Canis lupus familiaris: one gene and its partners. The protein of the gene in region 1 interacts with the protein of each later gene in a pairwise test. Links are inferred from orthologs where the notes say so. Each region holds a gene or a part of one and is shown in the gene's direction. Other genes may lie near its edges.

Region 1 (10,912 bases):
CAGTGTGGAGTTGGACACGGGGCTGGAACCCATGATCCTGAGATCATGACCTAAGTTGAAATCAAGGGTCAGGCCTCAGGCGCCCATGAGAGGGCGGGATTCTGATTGCAGGAGTCACGGCAAAGAAACAAAGGTCAGGAGAGAGGAATCAAAGGTCAGTTTGGAAATGCTGGTGAGTCAGACCACCGAGACACAGAGGTGAGGTGGAAGGAGGGACTACGGGGAGAGGATCTCAGATGTCAGGCTAAGACACAGAATTAATGCAGAGAGTAGCAAGGAACCAGGTTTGGGAGAAAGAGCTCAAAGGCAAGGAGAAAGAGTGAAGCCTAAAATGGGAAATTTTAAGACGGGGTGGCTTCATGGAAGGGTCCTGGGCTCTGGTGTCAGATGGGTTGAATGCCATCCATGTTCTATCCCTTACAGGCTGTTTTACCCTGGGCAGCTTACTTATGCTCTCTGGGCCTCAGCCCCATCTACATAATGGGCATAATAGTAGCATCACAAGGTTGAAGGACATAAAGCATGTAAATGAAGTAAAACTAACCATTCAAATGTGGGTTATGGCCCCCTCCCGTTGAACGAGGTGCCTGACCAGCGTTCTTTAGATCCTGTACAATCTGTGCCTGCGGCACATAGCGGCACACGCTGTCACTGCTACCGTCATCTTCCCTGTCGTTATGTACAATAACAATAATGCAATGGGTTTCTGACACAGAGAGAACGGGGTTTTCTTGGGGGGGGGCGGGGGCAGAATGCATAACTTATCAGATTCTCACATGTATCCGTGACCGGAAAACAAATAAACCAACCCAAACCAACCCAAAATACAGCCTGAAATGCAGGGAAACTAGTTAGGAAATCATAGTTGAGTGATAACCCTAGTAAGTGCTTTGCCTGTCCTGCGGTGAACGCCGGCCTTTCCGAATCCTTCACCCCGGCACATCCTCCATCCACGTTGTGGGACCTCAGTGTCGGGACTGTGCCTCCTTTATGGATATTAGCACAGCCTGTTTTCTCTACCCTGAAGACCAGGCGCCCCGAAGCCTGCCTGTGGCCAGAAGCAAAGGAGATGCCGGCGCTAGGGCTTTGGGAGCGGCGCACAGGGGCCGCCGGCGCCCTGGGGGGCTGGGCTCTGGGTCTCTAAGCTCGCCTCCCCGAGGGGAACGGCCTCTAGGCCCCGCGCGCCCCGCTCGGCGCAACCCGCCTACCTCCTTGGACAGCCGCTTCCAGGGCGCCGGGCCCTCCATCCCGCCGCGGCCGGCCAGAGGGCGCGCCCCGGCCCTTTAGAGGCCCTTTAGAGGCGGCGGCCGGGGCGGGGCCGACCGTCCAGGTGACGCGAGCCCGCCGGGTCCCCGGGGCCGCCCACGAGGGGCGGGCCGCGCTCGAATCTCCCGCCAGTCCGCGGCCGCGCGCTGATTGGCTGCGGGGCGCCCGCGCCGGCTCCCGATTGGCCAGCGCGCCCGGGATAAAGGCCGGCGGCGGGGGCACCCGGGTCAGGCTGCTGGGCGGTGGCACCCGAGGGCTCCCGAGCGGCGGGCTTCGTGCAGGCGCCATGAGCTGCATCAACCTGCCCACCGTGCTGCCCGGCTCCCCCAGCAAGACCCGGGGGCAGATCCAGGTGCCGGCGCGGGGGTGGCACCCCGGCGGGCGCGGGTGGCGGGCCGGGGTCGCGACCCGGGTGCGGGTTGGGGTTGGGGTTGGGGTTGTGGCCCTGGCCTGCAGTCCGTGCGCAGCGGGCCCCGAAGTGACCTCTCCTTCTCTCCTAGGTGATTCTAGGACCCATGTTCTCAGGAAAAAGGTAAATAAGTAATGTCCTCGCGGGGACGGCCTTCTCCCCCCTCCCTTCCGGGGGCCCGTCCTCCTCCCCTGCTGCCCCTCTCAGTGCCCCCCTGCAGGACGACCCCTCCCCCGGACCGAGCACGCGTTCCCGCCCCATGCGGTCCTGCAGGAGGGCGCCTCTTCCCTGCCCGCGGGGTTCAGACCCTTCCATGGGGTCATGGCACCACGTCGCCCCCCTGCAGCAGGTTATGGCTGCTGAGGGTGTAGTCCTCCCTCCCCCCACCCTCCCACTAAATCTCTCTTGGAAAGGAGCAGCCAAGTCTTTTCGTTTCGTTTTGGTTTTTTTTTTTTCAATTTAAAATTTTAATTCTTCTAAAATGGTGTCCTCGGTGAGCTGGGTCCTGTGCACCCTGCAGCATCCACACTCCTCCTTCCCTTCCTAGTGTTTGTTTCCTTAAGTAGTTTACACACTAAGGAGTCAGGCCAGGATGCCTTTGCTCCCCTGATGTGACAGGACGGTGGCCTGACCCAGGCAGGGCTAGTCGGCCCCCTGAGTGACGCCCTCTGCCCTGGGGGGGGTCACTGCAGGGCAAACCTGGTGCCCACCACAGTCAGGCCAGGGTGGGCTCTGGGACCCAGAGGTAACTGCTTTTTTTTCTTGAACAACAACAACAAAAGACTGCGAAGTCAATGCAGACCATGTGAAGACCTCTGGGATGGGACTCTTTGGGGATGCAATCCAGACCCCTCTTCTCTGTCGGAGGCCTTTGACTCTACTCACCCCATCAGATCCCTGAGACATTTATTCTCCCACCCCCTCCCCAGACCACCTGACCTCTGTTCCTTGCCATCACCACCCTCTGTCCTCTCTGGTTTTTCTGTCCATTGGTGGGTCTCAGGCTGTAGACCCCCAGCAGGGGTGGGGGGGGAGCCCCACTTGTGCTAATGGGGACTTCCTTAACATCCTGGGTCTCACCTAGTGCTCTGCTCTTGCAGTACCGAGCTGATGAGAAGGGTCCGTCGCTTCCAGATTGCCCAGTACAAGTGCTTGGTGATCAAGTATGCCAAAGACACGCGGTACAGCAACAGCTTCTCCACGCATGACCGGTCAGTCCCTGTTCTCTCCTGTCCTGTCCCAGCACTTCTTCCGGAAACCTGGTGAAAATGCGCAAGGGCATAGGCCATACTGTCAGAGCGCTCTTCAGCAGGACTGGTTAGCCATGCCGGTGGGCGGCATGGAAACGTGCAACTCAGCAAACTCTCAAGGTCGCTTGGCAAGGGATCTTAGGACTTGGCCTCTCACAGAGTTCTGGCCCGGTGTTCTTCACAAAGGGAGATTTTGTTCCCCCTCTCGCTCCCTCAGAGTCCATTTGGCAATGTCTGGAGACATCTGTAGTCTTCACAGCTGGAGTAGGGGAGGGCATGCTATGGGCATCCAGTGGGGAGAGGCCAGGGATGCTCCTGAATTCCCAGTGCACAGGACGGCCCCCACAACAAATACTGACCCTGCCCCGATGGTCAATAGTGCCGAGCTTACATCTGTGCTGTTGCAAACTGGTTTTGTTTAGCGTGCATGTTGCTTTTCATTTAGCTTTTCAGTTGTTTTATCTTGGTTGACTCTGTTGTCTTGTGGCCTTCATGCTTCCCAGTTTTGTGTTTATCTGCCTGTGCCCTGCACACGTTTCAGTCTGCAACCTGAGGTCGGGAATGAGAGGTTGAGTTTAGTTTTACTCTTGCCTGTTCCTTGGCTGCAGATTTCTGAGCCTGAGATGTTACCTCTTTTGGACTTGTCCGCCCGAGCCGCCAGCGGCAGAGCCACGCTGTGCCACAGGGAGGGCTTGCAGCCTCAGGACTGCCCCGTGTGTGGCTTTGGGGTGGGAATGTGGGGTTTCTGAAGCCGGGCGGGTGGTGGGTGGATAGTGTCTAGGAATTGGAGTTAAAGCATCAGGATGTGAGTGACTGGTGCTTTCTGCCGTGCTGCCCTATGCAGGTCATTTAGGTCTTGCAGTTACTTCTTCCCTAAAACATGTGTCTGCTTCTGCTGCACTGGCCAGGGGCACATCCAGGGAGGGCAGTGCGAGCAGAGGAGGCCGCATTACGCAGTGATAAGTCAGATCAGGGGCATGTCTGAACTTGGCCGGAGCCGCACACATGCCCTCTCACTTGGGCCACAGAAGCTGAGACGGGCCATGGCTGTGACTCAGCCCTTGGCGGGAGTGACAGGGCTCCAGAGATGCTGCCCTTGCCCACCCTCTGGTTTTCTCTGGCTTGGGGTGGGAAAGGGGAATTTAAAATGCAGGAAATACCATCTCCTGCTCTTGCCAGATCTTGGAGTAGACTTATAGCAAGATAATAACTGAGCAGTGGTTGTATTTTATTTTTTCTAAATACAGCTACAGGCTGCTGAGCCTTTGGAAAGTACCAGCCCCCAGGGGTACCTGGATGGCTCAGTTGGTTAAACGTCTGCTTTTGGCTCAGATCGTGATCCCAGGGTCTTGGCATCGAGCCTCCATTTAGGGAGGAGACTGCTTCTCCTTCTCCCTCTGCTCCTCCTCCTGCTCTAGTGTGCACGTGCTCTCTATTTTATTTTATTTTTTAAAGATTTTATTTATTTATTCATGAGAGGCACAGAGAGAGAGAGGCAGAGACACAGGCAGAGGGAGAAGCAGGCCCCATGCAGGGAGCCCGACACGGGACTCGATCCCAGGTCTCCAGGATCACGCCCTGGGCCAAAGGCAGGCGCCAAACCAGTGAGCCACCCAGGGATCCCCTCTCTCTTTCAAATAAATAAATAAAATCTTTAAAAAGGGGCAGGGGAGTACAAGCCCCTCAGAAGGCTACTTAGAGCAGGAAAAATGAACACAGAAGAAAACAACATTGTAGAAAAACACAGAGACTATTTAAAAAGACGGGGGAAAAAAAATAAAAATCAATAAAAATAAAAAGACGGGGGAGAGAGAACAGCATCCCTGTTCAGAAAAGGCCCTGGGTGTGGGGGCGGGATGGGGTCCACCGTGCCACGTAATGCACTGGAACCTTCCCACACATGGCCTTTTGCTTTCAAGCTCTTGTGAATACGACTCTCCCTGTGGGGCGCGCAGGGCAGCACTATGACCTTGGATTTGAACCTTGGCTCTGCCAGTTAATAGCCCCACGAACCTGGAAGAATCCTCCGCTCGGCCACAGGAGCCCAACGGAGGGAATTCTCTGGCACTGCAGGCTGAAGTTCAGGCTTCTCTCTGCGGGGACACACGGAGCTCGGGGCCTGGTGCTAATGCTTTGCCCAGGACCACGTTGGACTTTCCCCGGGCAACTTTACCTTTGTGTGCCCCTTCCTCCATAAAAAGAAAGAAGTGAAAAATTATATCTCATGACCGCGTTGATAATAAAGACAACTAGAGTGCAGGCTGAGTTGTATTTACGTACTCTTTTTTCCCATTTTTAAGAGAAAGAAAGCGTTTCGCCTGCCCTGGCCCCCTGAACAGAAGCAGAGCTTTTGAGTCCCCGTTAAGCTTTTTTTTTTTTTTTTCCCCATTAAGCTTTATATCACGCATTGCTCATCTCTGGTCCAGAGCATCAAGTGGCCTAACTTGGGTTGAATAACTGGTCTGAACATGGGTCTTTATTCTCCCCAGATGCCCTCTCACAGGCACTAACTTCAAGCTCGGGCCAAACGGTGCACGTGCTTTGCGGGGAGGGTGGGCCTGGGAGCCGGTCCCTGGCTCACTGCTGGCTTTCTCTCCCCAGGAACACCATGGAGGCACTGCCAGCCTGCCTGCTCCGGGACGTGGCCCAGGAGGCCCTGGGCGTGGCTGTCATAGGCATCGACGAAGGGCAGTTCGTAAGTTGGCTTGTCTGGCCTTCTGCCTACGGACTCCCGGTCTGTAGTTCACTTGCTTTAACCGGTGTCTGAATACCCTCTGGATTCCCCGTACTGCTTTTCATGTTTTAAGGGATTTATTTTACCTTTTTTAAAAAATATATATATACAATAAAAAGAGGGGTGGGGCGGGGCACCTGGGTGGCTTAATCAATTGAGCCTCTGACTCTTGATTTCATTGCAGGTCATGATCTTACGGTCGTGAGATGGAGCCTCCCATTGGGCTCCGTGCTGGGCATGAGGCCTGCTTAAGACTCTCTCTCCCTCCCCTCTCCCCTAAAAAAAAAAAATCTGTAATATATTATATATATATATTTATATTTACAATGAGGGGAAAAAATTAGGTTTCTTGGGGTGCCTGGCTGGCTCAGTCCATAGAGCATATGACTCTTGATCTCGGGGCCATGAGTTCAAGCCAGTTTCTCAACACTGGTGTGTAAGAATGTTTTGCTTGGCTCACTGTTGCTTCTGGCTTGTTCCTCTTCCAGCTGAAGTACATCCTTTAGTAATTCTTACAGCTAGGACGTGTTGGTGGGAAGCTTTCTGCGTCTTGGTAGGAAAATGTCTTTAATGTTCTCTACGGTAAGTAGAGGGCAAAGGGTACCTTGACTATGGTTTCTCCCCGTTGCTTTGGAAAAGCAGTAGCTCTTCCTGCAGCTGAGGAGAAGGCCGCCGTTGGTCTGTGGCTGCCGGCCTGAGCAGGTAACGAGTAACGGGTTTGCTCTCAGGAAAGTGTGTCCTGGGAGGTTCTATGCTTGGTGTCTGGTGTGCCTTTGACATGTGAGCACTCATGTCCCCATGCCTGGTGGGGAGAAGGATGCCACTATCACTCTGAATCTCTCTCCCCACCTCTGGCAGGTGTTCTGGGAACATCTCCCAGTGTGTGTGCTTTCAAAGCCTGCTTTTTATTTGGGATTTCCAGTTCTTTTTGTGTAAGTCCTGCTCTAATTCACATATCCTTGCTATTTACAGATGTACCATTTGTCTTTATTTATTCATGAGAGACACAGACTGAGAGAGAGAGAGAGGCAGAGACATAGGCAGAGGGAGAAGCAGGCCCCTCACACGGAGCCCGATGTGGGACTTGATCCCAGGACTCCAGGATCACAACCTGAGCCAAAGGCATCTGATGCTCAACCGCTGAGCCACCCAGGTGCCCCTGTACCGTTTGTTTTAACTGCTGCTGTTCCTTCCCTTGTCTTTCTGAAAATCGTGCGTGAAAGCCTTTCCTGGCTCACTCTTTTCCAAGTCAGTGATGGGGAGGCTTGCTGTTGGCTTCTCAGGTTGCCCTGGAAGGGCGCATTAAGAGAACGGAATTGAGAAAGCTTTAGGGGTCCCTGGTGCGGGGTGGCATACCTAGAGGTTGCATGTGTGGCCTCTACTGACCTTCTGCCACTGGAATTTGGGCACCTGGTCCCCCACCTTTTTTTTTTTTTAAGAATGTATTTATTTATTTATTTGAGGGAAAGGAAGGGGGGGGAGAGGGAGAAGCAGGCTCCCCACTGAGTAGGGAGCCCGACACAGGGCTGGATGCCAGGACCCTGAGATATCATGACATGAGCTGAAGACAGACACTTAACCCCGTGAGCCACCCAGGGTCCCTGTGCCCTGAAATTCTTTTGTGTGTGTGTTTGGTGAGTGGTTAGTGATTGCTGCAGGGAGAATCCATCTTGGGAACCGGGGGCATCTATCCCACTGAGGGGCTGGAGAGGGCTTGGTTATTAGGACTAGGGCTTGTAGGGGTCATTCTGGACAGGGTTTTAGGAGGTTAGCTTAGTTCTCAATTCAACGCCCTCAGGAAGGAGGGTGATCCCGACCGGGATCCTAAACCTTCTTGCTAGGGAGGGAGAACCATGAGGCTGAAGTGGAGTCGATAAAGCAGCAGCAGTCACTCCTGTTGGCCAGGACAGGGGAATGTTTGGTCCCTTGTAGCTTATTGAGTGTTGACGTCTGTCTCCGCTCAGACAGGACTATGGAGGGTCTTGTTTTTGTCTTGACACATTGCAGTCATAGAGTGGCCTTGCCTCATGCTCGTGCTCCATGAAATTATTTATGTTCCACGTGATAACTCCAGGGCCCAGTTGTGAGGGCCAGGCCAGCTCCTGCTGCTGGGCTGCTGTTCTCTTTTTACAACCCAGAACAACAAACAAAGCCCCATTACACGTTGGTTCTACATCTGTCTAGTTTTTATAGGCGTGCATTTTTATTTAATTAATTAATTAATTAAAATATTTTATTTATTCATGAGAGACACAGAGAAAGAGGCAGAGACACAGGCAGAGGGAGAAGCAGGCTCCATGCAGGGAGCCCGACGTGGGACTCGATCCCGGGACTCCAGGATCACACCATGAGCCCAAGGCAGGCGCTAAACCGCTGAGCCACCCAGGGATCCCCTGAGCCCCCCAGGGATCCCCAGCGTGCATTTTTAAATAGAGGGGCCTCCTATCACACTGTGGGCCGTTTACCCGTATCAGCAAGTGTACCCATCCTTATGAGTGTTTACAAATGTACTACCTCACTTATGCCAGCCCCCTGGCATGTGCATTTGAAGTCTGTGATGGGCATCTTGGGCTGCTGGCTGTTGTATTGGGATTTATCTGCTAAGTGGAATTGCTGGTCAAGGGGCCAATTCCATTCATTCATTCATTCATCCATGCTTTTTCTGGGCTTGTGCCCCACACCAGCTGTGTTCTCAGGGTTGGGGATTCAGCCAGAGTCTCCACCCCTGAGCCTACCTTCTAGTCCAGGGAGAGAATGATGTCCTAGGTCAGGTGGAGACAACTGGCCTGAAAGGCAATGCCAGGGGGACAGAGCTAAGGTGGGGTGGCTAGGAAGGGGCCTGCGAGAGAGCCAGGGAGTGAGCTGTTGGCCGGCTGTGTCTGCGGTAGGAGGGAGGTGGGTGGGCTCTGGGCAGGCTGAGTGGAGAGTGAACAGCAGGCGCAGAGGACAGGGCGGTGGGACCGCTGAGCCTTTGCAGAGATTCCCTAGGAGAGAGGTGTAAAGGGCAAATGGCAGAGGGTGCGTGTTTGTGCACACCCGTGCCCGCGCACCCTGTTCTACTGCATTTCTCTGCTACAGAGAAATTACTGCTACTGCTACTTGACATCTGTTTCCATGTTTATTGGCTATTTATATTTCTTTATCTTTTAAATTGCCTTGTAAGGGCTTTCACTCCTTTTTCTCTTGGTTTATCTTTCTTCCAGTGCACTTGATGGCTGGTGTCACTTTGTCATGTGCTGTGATATCCTCCCTATTGGCCTTTGAATTCTGTCTGTGGCATTTCATGTAGCGTTTCACCATCCACAGCTGAATATTTTACTTTGTCCGTCCTTTATTACTGTCCTTTGTGGCCTTTGCCCCTGTGAGGCCAGCATGCCTGCCAGGGAGTGAGGCCCCAGCGGGGGCAGAGCCAGGGGTCACTTGGCCGCACGTCACAAGCCAGCCAGCTCTTGGCAGAAAGATGACGGAGGTGCAAATCCACTCGGAGGCTTCCTAATCTCTACTCTGGGCTCTGTCCCCTCCATCAAAACTCCTTTAGGAAGCGAGCTTGCTGCCGGTCACCCGGAGGTGTGGCATGGGCAGCTGGACACGAGTGGGCACACTTGCCACCAGCTGAGAACCCTCTGCTGGTACTTTCCTACATGGATCCCATGTTGTAACTGTGTCTGCCAGGAAAACCCAAAGTTTGTAAAGTGCTTAGAAGTTCTATTATGTTTTTTATTTATTTAGTTTAAACATTTCGTTAACTTATTTGAGAGGGAGTGAGAGAGATCACAGAGGGCGAGGGAGAAGCAAACTCGCCACTGAGCAAGGAGCCCAACGCGGGACTCGATCCCAGGACCCCGGGATCATGACCTGAGCTGAAAGCAGACGCTTAACCTACTGAGCCACCCAGGCACCTTACTTATTTTTTAAGAGTTTTTATTTATTTAAGTAATCTCTTTACCCAACGTGGCGCTCAAACTCACACCCTGAGATCAAGAGTGGCGCTCTTCTGACTGAGCCAGCTGGGCACCCTGAGGTTCTAGTTTACTTTATATTCTTTTAAAGATTGTATTTACTTGAGAGAGTGGGAGGGAGTGGGGGGAGGGGCAGAGGAGAGGGGAAGCCAACTCCCTGCTGAGCATTTCCCCACCCAGAGATCATGACCTGAGCCAAAACTGAGAGTTGGAGTTTAACAGACCGCACTCCCCAGAGGCCCCGCTGAAGTTTTATTTTAAGTGTAACCTGTATTACTTGCCTAGGGCTGCTGTAACAAGTGGCACCAAGCAGACAGCTTACACAGCAGCAACTGATTCTCTCCCAATTCTCGAGGCTGGAAGCCCAAAGTCAGGGTGTGGACAGCAGGCTCGTTTCCTTGTGAGGGCTGGGATGGGAATAGTCCAGGCCTCTGCCCTTGGCTTGTAGATGGCCATCTTCCCTCTGTGTCTCTGTCCAAGTGCCCCTTTCTCGTAAGGACAGCAGTCCTATTGAATTGGGGCTCACCTTGCTGACCTTACTTTAATTGGGTGGCATTTGCAAAGACCCTTCCTCCGAATGAGGTCAGATGCTGAGGTATTGGGGGTGAAGGTTTCAATGTGAATTTGGAGGGCGGGAGGGGACACAGGTCAACCCATAATATAACATAAAAACTAACAGCAATAAAAATAAATGCCAGTAACGTGCTTCCCAGCGAGTGTTGTGAAGTGTTGCCGGCCATCTGCACAGAGCTCTCCTTATCTTTGAGACCTTGGGAACGCCTGCTGGGGACTGTTTCCCAGGGAGGTGGCATGTGAACAGGAGACGAAGTGAGATCTTTGAATGTCGGCATCATTTGCATGTGGGACCATGCTAGCATGGGGGGTGGGGCGGGGGGGGGTGCTTCTGTAGCTTGGGTCTGGCCAGCCCTACAGAGAGTAGTAGGAGTTGGCTTCGTCTGAATCCTACTCAAATCACTCTTGGTTTTCCTAGCCACCTTCACGGTCCTTGTCTTTGCTAACTGTCCAGGTCTCTGTAACCTCACACCCCAGTAAGTGGGCCAGGTCGGGCCTGAACAGCGTGGGGAGAGGCCCACTGCCCCAAGACAAGAACGTGCCCGTTCACACAACCCAAAGAGCAATCCAGATAGACACAGTCCACTGGAGGCAGTATGCTTGCACAGTGAAAACCCAAAGGATCTGCACAAGTAGCAGCCTCACCCTGGCCCCTCAGGATGACAGCTGGTTTACCAAGTAAACACAGGGCCTGCTGTGTAAATAGCTGGCGGAAACTTGA
Region 2 (9,012 bases), on another chromosome or scaffold:
TCCGGCGCCGAAGACGCCCCCGCCGCGGCAGCCCGCTCCAGCCGACGCCCGCCGCGGGGCAGGCCGAGGCCGTCGGAGCCGGAGAAGATCGATCGGCCCCGCCCCCTGCGGCCCCGCCCCCTCGCCGCGCGCCCGTCCGAGGAGGGAGGGGCAAGCAAGCTTCCCCAGCAGTCCCGGGCCTCTCCGCCGCGCCGCCGGAGGGCGGCACCTCGCTCACCCAAGTCTCACTCGCCGGAAACGATGCGGGCCGCCGTCGGCTCTCCAGCCAATCCAGGCACGCCGTGGCCCATTCCCCTCCGTCATTGGGTGGGCGGGAGGGCGGCCCGGCGGATGTTGTCGTTTTGGCCGGAGCCAAGTAGGCAAGATGGCGTCGAGCGGCGGGGAGCTCGGGGGCGTATTCGATCACCACGTCCAGAGGGCCGTGTGCGACACGCGGGCCAAGTATCGGGAGGGGCGGCGGCCTCGCGCTGTCAAGGTAAAGTGACTTGGGTTTTCACTCGCTATCCTCGATAGCGTTATCATGCCCGGCTTGATAGATGAAGGCTTGAGGGGCTGCGGGCCTGCCCACCAGGCATCGGCGGTGGGACGAGAGGCCGGCGCTCAGTTACCAGACGTTCTCACGAACTCCTCGGCTACCTGCTAGAACGTCAGCTCCGCGGGGACGGGGCTCCGCTTTAGTCTTTGTATCTTCCGTGCTTACGTGGTAAGCGCTCAGTGAATCGTTCTCGCTCTCTCTCCAGTTAACTTCTCCTGAGCCAACTTCCGGAAAATATGTCCATTGAAGATACTCTGTGTTTTAATTAGAGGCCCTGACACGGAGGGGTGAATTTATTCTTTATTTTTTCTGCAGACCGGCTGAACAGAATGTTTCTTCTTTTCAGGGCTTTAAGTTTTTTGTTTTTTTTTTTAATTTTAATTCTAGTATAGTTAACCTACAGCGTTATATTAGTTTCAGGTGTACTATATGATAATTCAGCACCTCTGTACGTTATTTAGTGCTCATCATTGTAAATGTACTCTTTAATCCCCAGAGCTTTTTCTTCTTTTTTTTTAAATAGAAGATGTGTCTTAGGCTTATTTGGAAAATACATTTTTTAATTTAAATTCAGTTAGCCAACGTATAGTACACAGTGTCAGATGCAGATGTTCAATAGTTTATCAGTTAGGTACACCACCGAGTGCTCATAACATCATGTGCCCTCCTTAGTACCCATCACGGAATTACCCCATCCCCGCCCACCTCCTCTCCAGCAACCCTCAGTTTGTTTCCTAGAGTTAAGAGTCTCTCTTGGTGTTTCTCCCTCTCTGATGACTTCCCGTTCAGTTTTCCCTCCCTTAACTACGATCCTCTGCGCTCTTTCTTATATTCCATGTATTAGTGAACTGGAGAGTATTATGTTATTTGGTGAAATAAGTCAATCAGAGAAAGGCAGGTATCACATGGGTTCACTAATATGTGGAAAATACATTTTTATGTGTCTGCATTTCTTTTAGGTATATACAATCAATTTGGAATCTCGGTACTTGTTAATTCAAGGAGTTCCTGCGGTGGGAGCAATGAAGGAATTAGTTGAGCGATTTGCTCTATATGGTGCAATTGAACAGTATAACGCTTTAGATGAATACCCAGCAGAAGACTTTACGGAAGTTTATCTTATTAAATTTATGAATTTACAAAGTGCAAGGTAATGTGCAAGTTAAGCTTAAGTTTCATTTCCGCCATTCCCATTGCTAGCACATTGGTCCCAGTTGTCCCTCGTTCATACCTGAATTACTGAGTAACGCTGTATTATTTTAATCTTACTCCAGTCTTTTTTTTTTTTTTCTTTTTAAGATTTTACCCATTTATTCACGAGAGACACAGAGAGAGAGGTAGAGACACAGGCAGAGGGAGAAGCAGGCTCCCTGCAGGGAGCCGGACGTGGGACTTGATCCCAGGTCTCCAGGATCACGCCCTGGGCTGAAGGCAGGTGCTAAACCGCTGAGCCACCCAGGCTGCCCTATCTTAACTCCAGTCTTAAATGTCATTACCTTGCTTAACAATCTTCAGTCATATATTGTGGTAGATTACAAAATGGGTTTGGATAAGTTTTCGAACTTCACAGCTTACTAACATCGTGACTTTGGACAAGTCATTTAACCTCAACAAGCCTGTTTTTTCTAGTCTCTGAAATCTGTACAGTAAAAGGACCTACTTTGAGGGTTGTGTGAGGATGGTATGAAATAATCCATGTAAAGGGCTGAAACATAGTGCCTCCTGTTGAGAATGCAGTAAACATTAGCTATTGAAGTTCTTTTTTTTTTTTTTTTTTCTTTAAACTTGCTGGGATTTTTTTTTTTTTTAAAGATTTTATTTATTTATTCATGAGAGACACACAGAGAGAGAGAGAGGCAGAGACACAGGCAGAGGGAGAAGCAGGCTCCATGCAGGGAGCCCGACATGGGACTCAATCCTGGTCTCCAGCCGCTGAGCCACCTGGGCTGTCCGCTATTGAAGTTCTTAATGTTATGCACCTATGTGAATTGACTCAGTCTTTTCCTGCCTTCTGCATAAATTCTGTGCTTCAATAAGGGTGAAATGCCTCATCTAGTTTTATGTTTACCCCATTCTTGTCACTAATTTGCTCCAATATCCATCCTTTGGCTATTACCATTCATACTTCCTTTTTCTCTTTAAAAAAAAAAAAAAAAAAAAGATTTTAATTACTGTATCCCCAACATGCTCAAACTTACAGCACCAAGATCAAGCATCACATGGTCTACCGACTTAGTCAGTCAGGTGCCCCACCATTCACATTGTCTTTCCGTACTCCAAATAGCACTTGCAGTCTGCCACAAAAGCACTTGATTTTTATAGGGTTATGTATTGTTCTCAGTTTGCTCCCTTATGTGATCTCACTTCCCCTAACCAACTTCCCCTCATAGTTAGCGAAGCATATTTTCTAGAGTTTTTGCATCTCCCACAGCACATAATATGGTAGGTTGTGGAGTTCAGCATCTCAATTTGAATCATAACTCCACAAACTAGTGTGAGCATGGCTAAATTATAAATCTCCTGAGGCCTCCTTAGGTCCTCATAGGGTTTTATGAAATCTTAATTCAGGTGAAGTACTTAGGGCACTGCCTGGTGTGTGATAAAATCTCAATAAGTATTTCTATCATTATCCCTAGACACGCAAGTACTTAAATATTTATTGTAGTATAATGCTTAGCCAGTTACATATGTTTGATAAGTATTTGTTGAATATCATCATGTAACTTTCTCGTTGCTTATATATTCAATATTTACTCAATTATTGAAGATTTTACTATTACAATATTTTTATTTGTGAATCCATTGTGCTGAAAAGGCTAAATTGGGTATGAGCTGACTCTTAAGGGACATTTAACACAGAGAAATCTCTATTTCATGACCACAGATTGTGTACCTCAAGTTAACTATTGGCTCCTAAGTTGGTTAAAGGGAGTCTGGTTATGTGTGGATGACTTAGCTCAAAATCTGTTAGTAGTATAGAGCGAGGGGATGAAAGGCTTGAAGAGTATGCACTAGATCAGTAGAGTTAATACCATACACAAGTAGAACATCTTAACTCCCAAACCATAGGATGTATGTACACCTAGCAAAACCTGGACTTTTGGATCAATGCATTGTATACTATTTCAGCTTTCATCCTAAGTAGGTCAAGATTAATAAAACATGCTATCACATATTTCTGTTTAGGACAGCCAAGAGAAAAATGGATGAACAGAGTTTCTTTGGTGGATTGCTTCATGTATGCTATGCTCCAGAATTTGAAACAGTTGAAGAAACTAGAAAAAAATTACAGGAGAGGAAGGCTTATATAGCAAGAACTACTAAAAATAAAGGTTTGTAAAGCCAGGTACTAAACATCTTTTGTGTGTCAGGCAGTCTGCGAGGTGTATCATCATAGAGCCTCCCAGTCTAGTGGGAAGAGAGATAAATAATCACAATATTCATTAACTATAAACTGCAGGATTCTGTGCAGCACTCTCAAGTAATCTGGGCTGGAAAGGGAAAGATGTTAGTTTGTGACAAGAGTCCTACAGGATGAAAGAGATGGCTGAGTTTTGAAGGACAAGTAGACATTACTCAGAAGGGGAGATGGAAAGGTAAGCCAGGTAGCATGTTTAAAGAGCAGAGGAATAAGTAGACATCATGTGTATGAAGGAACTACAAGTAGTACAGGGCAACCACAACATGGGCTGCTCCTAGAAATAAGATTAGAAAAGAGGACAGGAACTGAATCATGAAGTGCCTCGTGTCTGTCCCATGCTGAGGAATTAAGGCTTGACATAAAGGCAGTGAGAAACAATTATGATTTGCAGACTAGTTACCTACTGCCAATCTAAAACTATTAAATGTGAAAAAGTCCCACTTTTGACCAGTAGCTGGCCAGAGACGCCATATGCCCCACTGAGTTTCACTAGACATAAATTCCAGGTGCCTGGAATAGGGTCTCATGGGATTTGGTACAAGGATTGTAGGAACAGAGCACTCAGAATTGGACTAAAATAATGTGTGTGGTCTGAAATCTGAATAGTCCTGGAGGCTCAGATGACCAGTTTTCCACCCTTTAGTTGAAAGACCAAGTCAGTATCCACACAGTTATTGAATATGAGGAGTTTATGACTGGGGAAGTGGCCTGTGGCAGAGGTGAAGAGAAGTAAGGAGGGAAGACTCTTGGAAGACTTATTTGAAAATTTGGCAAGAGAACTGTTGAGAGCCCATGGTCATTAGTAGACCCTGAACTTTAACCCATGGGATATGTGAATAGTTCTAGGAAAACTTTATGGTTGTGTGGCAAATAAAATTACAAAATATGGGTCCAGCATACTGCCTCTTTTAAAAATTAAACACAAACTAAGCAGCATGATACATTCATACAGTAGACTCCTCTGAAGCTGTGAAGAAAGAAGCATTCTATGTAATGACCAAGAAAAAATCTCTAAGATCTCTAAGATCTACAGTTAGGTGGAAAATGCAAAGGAACAAAGAAATGGATATTATGGAAAAAGAGGAGTTGGTGGGAGAAGGAAAAGTAAGACCTAGCTGGACAGATAAATAAGAAAGAATTGGGATTACTTATGGAGAAGTAGAAACGAGGAAGATGGGGAGCAAAGAAAGAATGACACTTGACACTAATATATTCTTTATCCTTTTTAGCTTTTAAATACAAGGTATTGCCTGCTTAAGAAATAAATTATTCAGGGTACCATTGTTAACATTTAAAGTAATGTTTGTTTTTAAAATTATAGTTTTCTGAATGATGAAAACAATAAAACATTTCTTTTTCCTCTTATCTCACCTTTTAAATTGTAATGTGAAGATCATTACATAACAAAGAAGAAACGGGTTACAGAGCTTAAAGACACAAAAGATTTCAGACAGAACTTCCATTCAGGGACATCTGGATTTCGTGCAGTCACTGTGAATACTTCTGCTGGCAACTCAGACCCTTGTCTTCCTTATTCTTGTGAATTGCCTTTATGTTATTTTTCCTCAAAATGTACATGTTCGTCAGGGGAACATATGGGTAAAGCATCCAACTTCTCTCAGGACAGTAGAAACCATGCTAAAACAATGGAGCATTGTATGCACAATGACTCTTTGCAGAAGATACAAATGAAACCTTTAAAAAATTCATTGGCCTTCCCTGGTGCACAAAAGGCTATTACTTCTTCAGAGGCAGTTGAGAGATTTATGCCTAGGACAACACAACTGCAGGAGCGGAAAAGAAGAAGAGAAGATGATCGTAAAATTGGAACTTTTCTTGAAACAAGCACAAGTAGTAATGAGGTTATGATTGGGCCTCTGTTACCAGACATACCTAAAGTGGACATGCATGACGACTCATTGAATACCACAGCAAATTTAATTCGGAATAAACTTCAAGAGGTAAGATCATTTTTAAAAAACTATTTTAAGAGACCATCTGGTCATAGGACTAACAGCTAAATCGAGATTTGTGGCAGCTAAAGTATTGTCATTAATTTTTTTCATTTTCAGTTTTTTTTTTATGTGTTTTTCTACAGTTCTGTTGAATTAACTGAATTTGACTTAACAGAAATGTATGTGCTTTGATGTCATTAATCCTTGCTTTAAACAATGTATTTCATATCATTCTAGCTCTAAACTATAAAAGCAGTGGTTTCAGTCAGTGAGGTTGGTCTGTGAGAATTGAGCCCAGGCCCTCCCTTTTTAAAGCTCCCTGGTTGGTTCTATTATGAGCCAAAGTACAGAACTGTTGTGTTGAAGGAAAATTACTACAACTTATTTCTTTAAAGTTATTACAAAATTACATTAAATTAAAATGCTTTTTTCTTCTTTGATAAAGATAGCCATAGAAAAAGATGAGATTTCTAAAGACTAGCCACTACGGTCTGCATTTCAAAATGTCAGCTCCTTAAATAGAATACAGCTCGATTGTACTACTTAAGTAGTAATTTCTTTACATATTATTTATGTAATCATTTTACATTTTCCAAGCACCAATAAAAGAAAGCTAACATTTGAATTAGCTTTTGAAAGATACCTTTTTTATGGGGCAAACCTCGTAGAAATCAAGCTGAGGAAGAAAGACCATTCTCTTAAACTTTAATCTGAGGTTCAGAGAGTGCTTTTTGTGTAATTGTATGTATATTTTACAGAGTGATTAAGGGAGTCTGAGGTGGCTTAGTTTATGTGTATTTTTTTTTTTACCTGAAAATTACTATCTCATTAAGGATGAGCTCCTATTTTATAATAACAAAAATCTATAAACGCAGTTTCCATGCTTAAGCCTCTTTTTAAAATTTTTAGTTTGTGCTGGCCCCCTTCCTTCAAATACAGCTGAGCTGAGGCATAGATAGAGATGCATAGCGCTCTCAGCCAGAGCAGACTGTATTTTCAAGAAAAAAAGTTGTTAGGTTCAATTCCTAAAAAGGAAACAGCAGAACAACAAAAATGAGAAATGCTTAAACACAACTTACTACAGATGCTAATAATAAAGGATTATTATAGAAGAGTACATATTTATTTTTCTCCCTTCAAATTTTTTTTCTTGTTAAATGGCTTTAGAAATTTTACTCCCATCAGTGTTTGGACAGAAAACTTTGCTCTGTAGGCTATACCCTGAAATTGGACTCACTCTGCCTCCAATGTGATGGCAAGATTTGAACTACTAGATGTAGATCCTACCTCTTCTATTAGTTTATTTATTCCTGTGCTATAAGGAATAAATGTTGGTGGTTCTCTTTTTTTAAACTAGGTAATTTCATCTGTGCCAAAACCTCCAGAAGACAAGCTGGAAGATGTGCATTCAAGTCGTCCATTAAAACAAAGAAGAAGAATATAGATTGCCAGCAGCAAATTATGTTTCCTGAGGGACTATTTATTATTTTTAGCCTGTCATTTTAATTCTTGAAGAGGTTGTACTGCAGGAATTTTCTAATGCATTCCTCTTTGTAATATCATTCAACCTACTTATTTAATAAAATTTCATCTTTTAAAATTAGTTTATCATGGACAAAATACATGCCAGCCAAATATATTCCTTAATAAAAGAAAACAACTTTTCCAGTGATTCTGGTTACATCTTACTAGCTAGAACTGGGCTCATGGCTGTTCCTAACTGGGGAGGTCTGGCATGGTAAATAAATGTTTAGGTTTTCTTTTTTCTTTTTTCTTTTTTCTTTTTTTTTTAAGGTTTTCAACTTCTGTGGTTGAGGAAGCAAGAGAAAAGGGGGTTATGAAAGGCTTATTCACAGGATTTGCCTTAAGATCTAAGCCTTGTTGGCTAACTTAAAAAGTAAAATTAGTTTATCATTACTTATAGGTGTTATTTTGATCATACTTAATATTACAGAAACTGTTCTTATTCTCACATTGCAGTAATTATAGGTAAATGAAGTGAAGCAAAGATAAAAACTTTAGAATGCAAGTAAAGATAGGCAGTCAGGATCTGCTTCTGATTTTAATACAAGTATTGAGTAATTCACATTCAAAAACTAGAAGTCAGGATGTGTCTGAATGCCAGGGCTTCAAAATCAATACAATTCTGTAAAGTAAAAAAAGGTAAACTATTAGAACAAACTATTAGAAAATGCTAACCACTACCCTTAGCATACCCACATTGTTTTTCCTGTCAGGGAACCACATAATTGGAATTTGGAATAATTATGTTCACTCTTTCCCTTTTTTTTTTTTTTTTTAAGTGATAAAAATAACTTGAGAGAGCCCATATCAAATGGTGGTCTGTTCTTTTTTCTCTATACCTTGCCTAATGAATTGATTTTGAATATACCAGTTAAGAAAGTTCATCAGTTATGACCTACTGATTGAAACTTGCTGGGATGGCTCCAAGTGGTAGATGGTATTTAAAGAAGTTTTAGGCAAGGGGTTTGGCCTTACTTCCTTGTAAGGTAATTAGAGATTTTTCTTTGCTGAATTCCCAGGTAAAAGACACATTAGAGACCCAAGCATAGAATTGGAAAGAGCAAGTTACTGTCTAGAACACACTTCTCAGATGTTAAGATATTATGAATCTTCACCTCAGGGTCTTATTAAAATGAAAATTATGATGATAGTGGCCAGGAACTTGTGGGTTATAGGAATGCAGAATTGTTCACAGGTATGGAGTTTCAGTTTTACAAGATAAAAACAAGAGTTCTGGAGATTGTACAACATAGTATACCTAACATTACTGAATTGTATGTTTATAATTGGTTAAAAGGGTAGTTTGTATTAGATCTATTTTATCACAATTAAAAATTCTAAGGGAGAATTTAAATTCTTTTTTTAAAAATTTAATTTATTTATTCATGAGAGACAGAGGCAGAGACACAGGCAGAGGGAGAAGCTGGCTCCATGCAGGGAGCCCCATGTGGGACTCGATCCCAGGTCTCCAGGATCACGCCCTGGACTGCAGGTGGCGCTAAACCGCCGAGCCACCCAGGCTGCCCTCAAGAATTTAAATTCTTAAAGGGAGGAGCTACTCAGTTCTGTATTATTGA
Region 3 (10,566 bases), on another chromosome or scaffold:
CCACCCCACCCACGGCCTGTGTTCTTCACTCCATCCGGGGAATGTGGGGCTGCGCCAAACGGGGCGACATTCATTCCGGCCTTGGGAACAGCCTTGGCTGCGTGAGGCAGGGCTTGCTCGGAGAACCTGGTATGTTCCAGATGCTCTAGCTTATGGGCAAAATGGTAGCAGTTGGGAGAAGGTTATATATGTTTGAGAATCTGTGAGATTGTGATGTAAGCCATGGTGAAAGAAAACACAGCGTTTCTTCATTTTTTAATGTCCGAGGCAAATGTAACTGAAATGACGTTAAAAAGGAACGCACAAAAACACCCAAATGACCAGGAAAGAAAGAAGAAAAGAAGGTAGTACATCAAACACAGTGAAAAAAAAGTATACACAGAGAAGAGCAGAAAGACACACTTCCATTCTTTTGTATTTTCTAAAGCTTCTAATTTCATAGTCAGAAAATATGTATATAAAAATAAGTTTCTTACCATGATAAAATATATACGTATATGTAATGTATGTGTTTATTACACACACACACACATTTGTTGTTTTCAACTTCGAAAGGCCCAGAGCGACAATTGTAGTAAAAATAACACATCCCGGGACATGAAACATTGCAGAAAGGGGCTGAAAAACATTACCGTGCATTTACTCCAAATTATTATTATCTGGTGCAAAAATTTATAAACTGTAACTTGTTGGCATTGATGTTTCCAAAGCAAGTTAAACTGGGGTCCAGGCTATTTATAGTTTAGGAAGTCAGGTTTTTGGTTTTTTTTTTTTAAGATTTTATTTATTCAAGAGAGAGAGGCAGAGACACAGGCCGAGGGGGAAGCAGGCTCCATGCAGGGAGCCCGATGTGGGACTCGATCCCCGGATCCCGGGATCACACCCTGGGCCCAAGGCAGGTGCCAAACTACTGAGCCACCCAGGTGCCCCTGAGGAAGTCTTTTTAAAAAGGAAGCACTTCCAAAGCTTTAAGTAAAATTCCTCCATCTTCATATGGAGATGCTTTTATTAAAAGCTTGCAAACGTGTGCTCACAGCTGCAGGAGCGTTTCACAGGAAAGAGACTTTGAGGCGCCTTGTCCCCTGGACCCTCTCCGAGGGCACAAACAGGCTGTGAGGCTGCTCCCGAATAATTCATGCCACCTGGTTGCCGGAATGGTTCTTGGCTCTTCATTATCCTATTGACGTTTTCGAAATTTCAGGATCCCAATTTAGATCTATTTCAACCAGATCACAGGTGTCCCGGCAGAGACGGCCTCGGCTCACAGCAGTGGCCCGCAGGACAGCCCAGGCGTGCAGAGGCCACCCCGGCCAGAGCAGAGGGAGGGCAGGAGGCGACGGCCCCGAGAGCCAGGGGCAGGATTCTGAGCCCGTTTGTACCACGCAGGCAAGGCCCAGCCTTCTACCGGGAATTCACTCCTTTCCTTTCCAGTTTGAATTTTGTCATCATCACCCCAAAGTGCCTTCAGGCAGGGCCCGGCTCACACTCCTGATGTCAGTGACATCAAGTCCAAAGCAGGAAATGACACATGGCGGGACGACGTTGGCTCTCCTCCCCCACCACCCTGCCCAAGGGCCCAAAGAGCTGCTCCTTTCTGGACGGGAGGGTCCGGAGAACACCCCCGACCCCAAAGCTTGCCCAAGGCCTGCTCCAGGGGAGGGCATCTCCCCCGTCCACAGCTGCGCTGCTGTGACAGCTGCTGGCGCGGCGCTGGCCCCGAGGAGGACGACGGTAGGAGCTGGCAGCCCTCGATGAGTCACCTTAGGCCGGGCAGGCATCATTGAATAAACTGCCTGTGTGCCTCTGAGGATGTGCCGACCGAGGACAGAGGACAGGCGGGCCTGGGGGAGGGGCGGGCGGCCCGGGGAGGAGGCCGGTCCAGACCGCCAAGGCGGCGTCCTCCGGCTGCCAGAATCCAAGGGCCAGCCCTCCGGTGCCTGGGCCCGGGGAACCCATGCTGTCATTTATTTATCAACCGCATGCTCACGAAACGACCGACCGGGTCACAGGCAGTGACTCTTGCCTCCCAGCATAAGGAAAACAGATTTCCCTGTTTCAGATGTGGGAACAGAGGCTCAGAGAGGGTAGGTGACTTGCTTAGCGACCGGAGCAGGACGAAGTGGAGCGGGCACCCCCCACGAGGGTGATCTTTCCCTGCCACAGGTGGGGAAATGTCCACCCACTGGGGTCCCACGTCCCCAAGATGGTCCCTTCCAGGTCACATATTCTTCTCCTATTTGGCCCCAAATCCTCATCTTGTAGGAAACCACAAAGACCAAGAGGCAATTGCCTCCAGAAAAATCTCTGTAGCTCTGTGTTGTTAGTGAAGCTACAGGGAGCAGGGCCATTCTCTGCAGAGGAACTGGAAGGCTCTAGAAGCTCGGGAGGAAATGGGAGCTGGAGATAGAGATGGAGAGATGGTGGAGGCCAAGCCGAAGAACCTGGCAATGATGTCAGTGGGATGGACTGGGGGCGGGGGCGGGGACTCTGTGCTGGGAGAGGAGAGGGGGAGGGGGAGGGAGCCGGGAGCCGGGAACCCCCTCCCTCCCTGAGACAGCACCTGGGTGCCCCGGGTGCCCCTAAGACACTGTGATGCAGCCGCAGGCCACAGGTGGACGCGGGCCACCGCCGCTGGATGCCACTACCAACCCGGCAAGCAGGCTTCGGGCCTACAGCAGCAGCATCACCTCGGCTTTTATAGGGTATTCTTGATCCATAAATTTGACCTGCTTTCATCCAGAGCTTCTCATTTCCTACTCACAAAGCTGGCGGCAGGGCACCTATAATTATCATCATTTTATGGTTGGAGAAACTGGCCCCAGAGAGGAAAAGGAGTATGTGCAGGGAAACAGAAACCGTCCCCAGGTCCCCGCTCACCTGGCCCAACGCTCAGGATCATCGTTGAGAACAATCAAGACTGGATGTTACCTCACCCTGACCAAGCCTTTAAAACTCACCTGGGCTTTGTCTTTGTGGAAGGACTCGAGGTGCCTTCACTTACTGGCTTTGTAGCTACTCAGCTCTTTGAGGCTCCTTCGCCGAAATTGGGACAGTAATTACGTCTACTCTAGAGCAGGGCTGTTCACTGGAAATACAATGTGAGTCACTCAGGTAACAAAATTTTCCAGTAGTCGCTACTAGTGTAGTAGTCATTAAAAAAAATATTCTATTTATTTATTCATGAGAGACACAGAGAGAGAGAGAGGCAGAGACCCAGGCAGAGGGAGAAGCAGGCTCCATGCAGGGAGCCCGACCGGGGTCTCCATCCAGGGTCTCCAGGATCACGCCCTGGGTGGAAGGTGGCACTAAACTGCTGAGCCACCCGGGCTGCCCTTGTAGTAGTCATTTAAGAAGGTAAAAGAAAAAAAAATGAATTAAAACCTATATCCAAAATAGTATTTTGATGTGTTATCAATATGCAAAATTAGTAAGTCGCTTAACTTACTGAGTCCATGAAATGCAGTGACTGACTTACACGCACAGCGCCTAGGGCACATCTCAAGCGTTCAGGAGTCGCGCGTGGTGGCCTTTGAACGGGGCTGCGCGGCCCTGGAAGGAGGCCGCGGGGATTAGGTGACACAGCGCGTGGAGGGCTCGGGATCCGGGGCTGAGGCCCCTGGCATCCTCCGTGGCACGCAGGCCCCGCGCAGAACTCGCCGCAGCTGCACGGCCCTTACCAGGGCCCAAGAGCCCAGGGGATGCGCGGGGCCAGCGCAGCCCCTCGCACACCCACCGTCTTCCCGACGCGGTGGCACCTGCGGTCCCCGGAGCCCCTCCCCCTAGTCCGTCCCGCACCCTGGCTGCGGATCCGCACCTGCTCCAGGCCCCGCGCAGGCAGGAGCCCCGCACCCCGCCGAGGCCCCTCCCCCGTCTGGGACCCGCGCCCCCAGCCCGCCTCGGGCGCCCGGAGCCACGGGAGGGGGCGCCGGCAGCCGAGCCCCGCGCCCGGCCAGCCCCGCGCCGCGCACCTCGCACCGCGCCCCGGCTCCCCCTCGCGGTGCCGCAGTCCCCGCCGCCCCGCCCCCCGCCCCGCCCCATTACGTCACCGCGGGCCCGGCGGGGGCGCCTCCCGCGCTATAAAGGGCGGGGCGGGGGGCGGCGACTGCTCTCTGCTGCGGACTCCGCCGGCTGCGCCGCGCTCTGCTCCCCGGGCCGCGCCTCCGCCCGCCTGCAGCCCGCACCATGCGTGAGATCGTGCACATCCAGGCCGGCCAGTGCGGCAACCAGATCGGCGCCAAGGTGGGCGCGCCCGGGGCCCAGGGTGCGGACCCGGCGGGGGCGGGGAGCGGGCGGCGGGCTCCGAGGGATGCGGACCCCGGCGGGGGCGGGGGAGAGGGTGGCGGGACCTCAGGGTGCGGACCCGGGCGGGGACGGGGAGGGGGCGGCGGGACCTCAGGGTGCGGATCCGAGTGGAGGAGGGGGAGGGGCCGGCAGGACCTCAGGGTGCGGACCCGGCAGGGGAGGGGGAGGAGCGGCGGGACCTCAGGGTGCGGACCCGGCGGGGGCGGGGAGGGGGCGGCGGGCTCCGAGGGATGCGGACCCGGCAGAGGAGGGGGAGAGGGTGGCGGGACCTCAGGGTGCGAACCCCGGCAGGGGAGGGGGAGGGGCGGCGGGACCTCAGGGTGCGGACCCCGCAGAGGAAGGGGAGGGGGCGGCGGGACCTCAGGGTGCAGACCCGGGCGGGGACGGGGAGGGGGCGGCGGGACCTCAGGGTGCGGACCCCTGCAGCGGAGGGGGAGGGGCGCCGGGACCTCAGGGTGCGGACCCGGCAGGGGAGGGGGAGGAGCGGCGGGACCTCAGGGTGCGGATCTCTGCAGGGGAGGGGGAGGGGCGCCAGGACCTCAGGGTGCGGACCCGGCAGGGGAGGGGGAGGGGCGCCAGGACCTCAGGGTGCGGACCCGGCAGGGGAGGGGGAGGAGCGGCGGGACCTCAGGGTGCGGATCCCTGCAGGGGAGGGGGAGGGGCGCCAGGACCTCAGGGTGCGGATCCCGGCAGGGGAGGGGGAGGGGCGGCGGGCCCCAGGGTGCGGGCGGGGGCGGGGGCGGGCCGGGGCCAGGTGTGGGCGGCCGTGGGCCCCGGTGGCGCCTGTGAGCGCGGCGGGGAGCGCCCCGACCTGCCCGGGCCCGCGGAGCCGCAGTGGGGCTCACGCTCACGGGCCCTTAGGACTCCCGGCCGCTGCCCAGGCGCTGGGGTGGGCGAGCCGCCGCGCTGCCAGTGGCCTGGAGCGCAGCTTAATTCGATTGTGTATGTCCCTCTATAGTTTGAATGAAAAAATGCAGTGTCATTGGGGTGGCGAGCTAGAGGGACTTCTTTTTAGGTTACAAAGACCAGGATGCTCGGTGCCTACAGGGGCGCCATGGACGCCGAGCCCCACTGTCGCGGGCCGCTGCCTGTGGGCTGGTGGCAGGTGCGGGGCCCTGGCTCGGACCGCGGCGGGGGGGGCGGGGCGGGGGGGTGAGGCCGCGGCTCTCCTAGGGCCCGGCGCTCCCCTCCGCACCCCCCGCCTCTTCCCCCGCCTCCCCCCGCCTCTCCTTCATCCCCCCCCCCCCCCGCCGCTGCACATTCACACGGAGCTGCGCCCTCCCAGCGCCCGGCTCCAGCCACCGACCCCCGCAGGGCTGCCGCTCCCACTCTCCTCTCCCCATCCTCCTCCCTTCTTCCCTCCCTCTTCTCCCCCCTCCCCCCCTACTCTGTAGGGCTGCCGCTCTTCCGGCCCCTGCCCTTTCCCCCCCTCCGTCCTCACCGCTACCCTTCTCCTCTCCCCCACCCCTCCCCACCGGCCCCCGCGGGGACAGGGCGACCCGCCCGCTGCTGTCCGAGGTCCCGGCTGCTGCCTGCAGGGCTGGGTGGGGTTTGCACCCCGAGCAGGAGCACGCATCCCCGAGGCAGTGGCGGGGCGGGGTCTCCGCAGGCCTCCCTGCCCATCAGGGGCGGCTGTGACCTTCAGCCCTGCCGGGGGCGCCCGCCTCCCCAGCATCCGGGGCTCTCCCTGCCGGGGCCTCCGCCGCGCCCCCCCTCCCGGGGCAGTGCCCCTGGCAGCCTGGGGGAGGGGCCGCCGCCCTGCGCCCCGACGAGCCCCCCTGCGGCAGCCCCCGCAGCACACGGGTGCAGCTCTAGGCCCCCCCCCCCCCCCGCCCCCACGGGGCCCCTGCTCCAAGGACAGGGAGGGGACCCAGGGGCCGCCCTCCTCACTGGCATCCAGGGTGCCAGCCCCCTCCCTGACCTGTGTGTCCTTCCCCAGTTTTGGGAGGTCATCAGTGACGAGCACGGGATCGACCCCACCGGCAGTTACCATGGAGACAGCGACTTGCAGCTGGAGAGAATCAACGTGTACTACAATGAAGCTGCAGGTGATGAGCCATGCTTTCTGCCCAGTCCCCCTGCTTTGCACGCTGGGGCAGACGCAGTGTCCTAGGGACAGCCGGTGGCCCCGGCACAGAGAGGCTGCTTGCATGCATTTAAAGTGTCAGCTGCTAAAAATGACTGGCGAAGCCCCCCTGACTCCTGCATGTTGGCCATGACTAAGCAGCCGCCGCTGGCTCCTCTTCTAAGGCAGAGAGACAGCTCTGTTCGCTGCCTTTTGTCTCTGGTGCTAGAATTTTCTCTAATGATGCTGCTGTGAGAGGCGCATGGAGCACAGCCCGGGCTGTGATCCCTGTGCCCCCCGCCCGTCTAAGTCCGGCTCTGTTCCCCGCAGGTAACAAATACGTGCCTCGGGCCATCCTGGTGGATCTGGAGCCGGGCACCATGGACTCGGTCCGGTCCGGGCCCTTTGGCCAGATCTTCAGGCCCGACAACTTCGTGTTCGGTACGTAGTCACGGTCAGGGCAACGGGCTCCAGGAGTCTCCTTCCTCAATGCCGGGCAAGTCCCGATTCTTAGCGTCGCCTGCCAGGTGAAGACTGGGGGTCCACAGAGGCCTGGGTCCCGGCCTGAGCCCCCGGCCCCTCTCCGGGCAGCTCTGGGGACAGTGTGGGCCCAAGGCGGCCTCTAGAGCCCTCCCAGCGCGCAGCGGCCTAGGACGGGTCAAGAACACAGAGCGGGACCAGCGTCCCCACAGGAGTCAGTGGGCTTCTGGTAGCATCGCAGCCCAGGGCCAGCGGGCAGCCACTTCAGGAAGCCAAAGGCCAGGGGCACAGGTTATGCCCAGAAGTGGAGGCAGCTGCTTAGGGCCCATCTTCTCTTCGGATCATACTGTGCCCTTGCTCCTGCCTGTTTATTTCATCTGCTGTGAACACTTGTACAGAGCTCCTATTAAACCACCTTCCTGATAAGTTAATAATTCCATATAAACTAAACTTGCTTTTATCTCATTATGATCTCCAGTGGTTTTGAGGATCATTGATATGTAGAAAATTTTCCATGGGTAAAAAAGGGTATATATAAGAGCAGAACCGGCAAGTCTGCAGATTAGTCTGCAGTCCAATGACAATTCAGAATTCCTAATGTTTTAGTGTCTAATATTCTCCTTTCCCCCTGGCAGGCCAGAGCGGTGCCGGGAACAACTGGGCCAAGGGCCACTACACCGAGGGCGCCGAGCTGGTAGACTCGGTGCTGGACGTGGTGAGGAAGGAGTCGGAGAGCTGCGACTGCCTGCAGGGCTTCCAGCTGACGCACTCGCTGGGCGGCGGCACGGGCTCGGGCATGGGCACGCTGCTCATCAGCAAGATCCGCGAGGAGTACCCCGACCGCATCATGAACACCTTCAGCGTCATGCCCTCGCCCAAGGTGTCGGACACGGTGGTGGAGCCCTACAACGCCACCCTGTCGGTGCACCAGCTGGTGGAGAACACCGATGAGACCTATTCCATCGACAACGAGGCCCTGTACGACATCTGCTTCCGCACCCTGAAGCTGACCACCCCCACCTACGGCGACCTCAACCACCTGGTGTCGGCCACCATGAGCGGCGTCACCACCTGCCTGCGCTTCCCGGGCCAGCTCAACGCCGACCTGCGCAAGCTGGCCGTGAACATGGTGCCCTTCCCGCGCCTGCACTTCTTCATGCCCGGCTTCGCCCCGCTCACCAGCCGCGGCAGCCAGCAGTACCGCGCGCTCACGGTGCCCGAGCTCACCCAGCAGATGTTCGACTCCAAGAACATGATGGCCGCGTGCGACCCGCGCCACGGCCGCTACCTGACGGTGGCCGCTATCTTCCGCGGCCGCATGTCCATGAAGGAGGTGGACGAGCAGATGCTCAACGTGCAGAACAAGAACAGCAGCTACTTCGTCGAGTGGATCCCCAACAACGTCAAGACGGCCGTGTGCGACATCCCGCCGCGCGGCCTGAAGATGTCGGCCACCTTCATCGGCAACAGCACGGCCATCCAGGAGCTGTTCAAGCGCATCTCGGAGCAGTTCACGGCCATGTTCCGGCGCAAGGCCTTCCTGCACTGGTACACGGGCGAGGGCATGGACGAGATGGAGTTCACCGAGGCCGAGAGCAACATGAACGACCTGGTGTCCGAGTACCAGCAGTACCAGGACGCCACGGCCGACGAACAGGGGGAGTTCGAGGAGGAGGAGGGCGAGGACGAGGCCTAAGAACTTCTCAAATAAATTGTGCATCTTTAGTGACCTTCTGTTGTCCTCAATCAAGCATGGTCTTTCTATTTGTATACTATGGTGCTCCGTTTTGCCTCTGTCAGAAATTCACTGTTGGTGTAATAATGTGGAACTCCTAAAAACTACAGTATTGTCTAAGATATCTATACTAATAAAAAAGCATGTGTCCAAAACGTTGTGGTCTCTTCAGTTTCATTTCAGGCAATTTTTATTCTTTTATTTATTTTTTAACATTATATTTATTTATTCATGAGAGGCACAGAGAGGCAGAGGAAGAAGCAGGCTCCCTGTGGGAAGCCCGATGCGGGACTCGATTCCCCAGACTGCGGGATCAGGACCTGAGCCAAAGGCAGATGCTCAATCACTGAGCCACCAGGTACCCCTAGAGGATGTTTTAATGTCATTATTTCTATTTGGGAGCAGTTTGCAGGGAGGAGTAGAAAGTATGGGAAAGCAGGTGAGCTGAGGAATGACAGCAAGAGGCTCACCAACAGGTGATTCCACAGTAAGGCATCATCAGGTTCCTGCGGTTCTCGGGCATTTTTACTGTAGGAAGTCTTCTACTAACTTATTGAATTCATCTGCAAAGCGCAGATGGAGGTTGTGCTTGCCTTCTGGCATCAGATGCAACCTGAAAAGAAAAAAAGCTTATGATTAATGGCATACCATTTAAAACACTTACCCTTTCTAGCATTTCATGAAAATCTGAAGTGAAAAACTGCCCCCGTCCGTTTTTTCATGATGCCTATTGGGGAGGAAATGTAATATAAACTTTTCCCGAATATAGACATAAGGGTGAAAGCTGCGTGGGGAGTTTACAACCAACCTGGGGGTTGACTTAACAGAGCACACACAATGTATTTGGAATTTGGAACTGTATCATGTAACAAATGGTTTAACTTTATTTTTTTTATTTTAAGATTTTATTTATTCACGAGAGAGAGAGAGAGAGAGGCAGAGGGAGAAGCAGGCTCCACACAAGGAGCTCCAATGTGGGACTCGATCCCAGATCCGGGGATCAGGACCTGAGCCGTTAATCATAAACTTTTTTCATTACCTAAAGGGGGGAAAAACTCTTTAATAAGGTTGATTTTTTAAGAGAGAAGGTTTGAAAGGCAAGAAAAATATGAGATGTCCAGACTCCACTGGATTGGAATAGGGGAGCTTCCTGGGATATCCTAGAGTAAAAGCCCAAATCAGAAAACACAGGCCCTAGCGGCTTGTCATTTAAGGTTCAAAATCACCCTGTCATTTTTGGAGGACTGAGTAAGTCTGAATACATGCCATCAGACAAAAGGCAAGTAAGTGTTCCCTGGGATGGTGAGGGCAGCTGGAGCCAGCCTCAACAACCCTTTGTTCTGCAGCTGTCACAACATGTCTTGTGGCAAACCTCACTGTGCTCCTCATAAGACTTCTTCCATAAGCTTTTGGTCAAGTGTGGCTGGTTTGCAATTTCTTTAATACAGGCAATTTTCCCTGAGTTCTATTTATTGGCTTTTTTTTTTTGGCTGTGAAAGTACAGAAATAATAAGTTTTAAAGCTAGGATATAAGCACAAGTTCAGGCTGTTGTGTCTATAATAACAATTGGACATTAAAAGGATCCTATTGGGGCAAAATGCCAGTTATTACACTAATTCTCTGACCTTTCAACAACTGGGGGTTGAGAGCTCTATGAACTTCAGCGAGCACTAGGGAGGATTTGTGGGGAGCAGGAACTGGGGAATAGCTGTCCTTGGACAATGTCAGTGCCCCTGCAGCTCAACCACGTGGGGTGTGGGCTAGAAGTACCTAGATACACATCTTAATCCACTTGAAAGAAGGATATATTGTTGCCATCTTTCTGAGGCCCTTGGGAAAGCTTGTAATGCCATTAATAATAGCCAGAACCCTCCAAATTCAATTCTAATGCTGTTCAGAGAAAAAAGGATCAGCAGCACCAGCCCCAAAGACAGGATCCCAGTTGCCCTACGCAAGGAGCAGGGTCTGCAGGGATGCTCAGGG

Evidence for each region.
Region 2: the proteins of TK1 (region 1) and RBM48 interact in a two-hybrid assay, tested with the Homo sapiens proteins (2 studies listed by BioGRID and IntAct). The link is inferred for Canis lupus familiaris from reciprocal best matches to the Homo sapiens genes TK1 and RBM48.
Region 3: the proteins of TK1 (region 1) and TUBB2A interact in a two-hybrid assay, tested with the Homo sapiens proteins (2 studies listed by BioGRID and IntAct). The link is inferred for Canis lupus familiaris from reciprocal best matches to the Homo sapiens genes TK1 and TUBB2A.

What each region holds. Positions count from the first base shown.
Region 1 is NC_049230.1:3,864,528-3,875,439, forward strand, and holds the start of TK1 (thymidine kinase, cytosolic), read left to right. Parts: upstream 1-1,482; 5' UTR 1,483-1,552; coding exon 1,553-1,618; intron 1,619-1,766; coding exon 1,767-1,798; intron 1,799-2,775; coding exon 2,776-2,886; intron 2,887-5,526; coding exon 5,527-5,620; intron 5,621-10,912. UniProt on the Homo sapiens protein: Cell-cycle-regulated enzyme of importance in nucleotide metabolism. Catalyzes the first enzymatic step in the salvage pathway converting thymidine into thymidine monophosphate.
Region 2 is NC_049235.1:18,069,231-18,078,242, forward strand, and holds RBM48 (RNA-binding protein 48), read left to right. Parts: upstream 1-319; 5' UTR 320-330; coding exon of another isoform or gene 331-364; coding exon 365-475; intron 476-547; exon of another isoform or gene 548-703; intron 704-1,494; coding exon 1,495-1,685; intron 1,686-3,721; coding exon 3,722-3,867; intron 3,868-5,348; coding exon 5,349-5,917; intron 5,918-7,268; coding exon 7,269-7,355; 3' UTR 7,356-7,583; downstream 7,584-9,012. UniProt on the Homo sapiens protein: As a component of the minor spliceosome, involved in the splicing of U12-type introns in pre-mRNAs.
Region 3 is NC_049256.1:4,733,040-4,743,605, reverse strand, and holds TUBB2A (tubulin beta-2A chain), read left to right. Parts: upstream 1-4,080; 5' UTR 4,081-4,182; coding exon 4,183-4,239; intron 4,240-6,241; coding exon 6,242-6,350; intron 6,351-6,697; coding exon 6,698-6,808; intron 6,809-7,482; coding exon 7,483-8,543; 3' UTR 8,544-8,737; downstream 8,738-10,566. Other genes in the region: BPHL (valacyclovir hydrolase), read right to left, coding at 9,108-9,195. UniProt on the Homo sapiens protein: Tubulin is the major constituent of microtubules, a cylinder consisting of laterally associated linear protofilaments composed of alpha- and beta-tubulin heterodimers.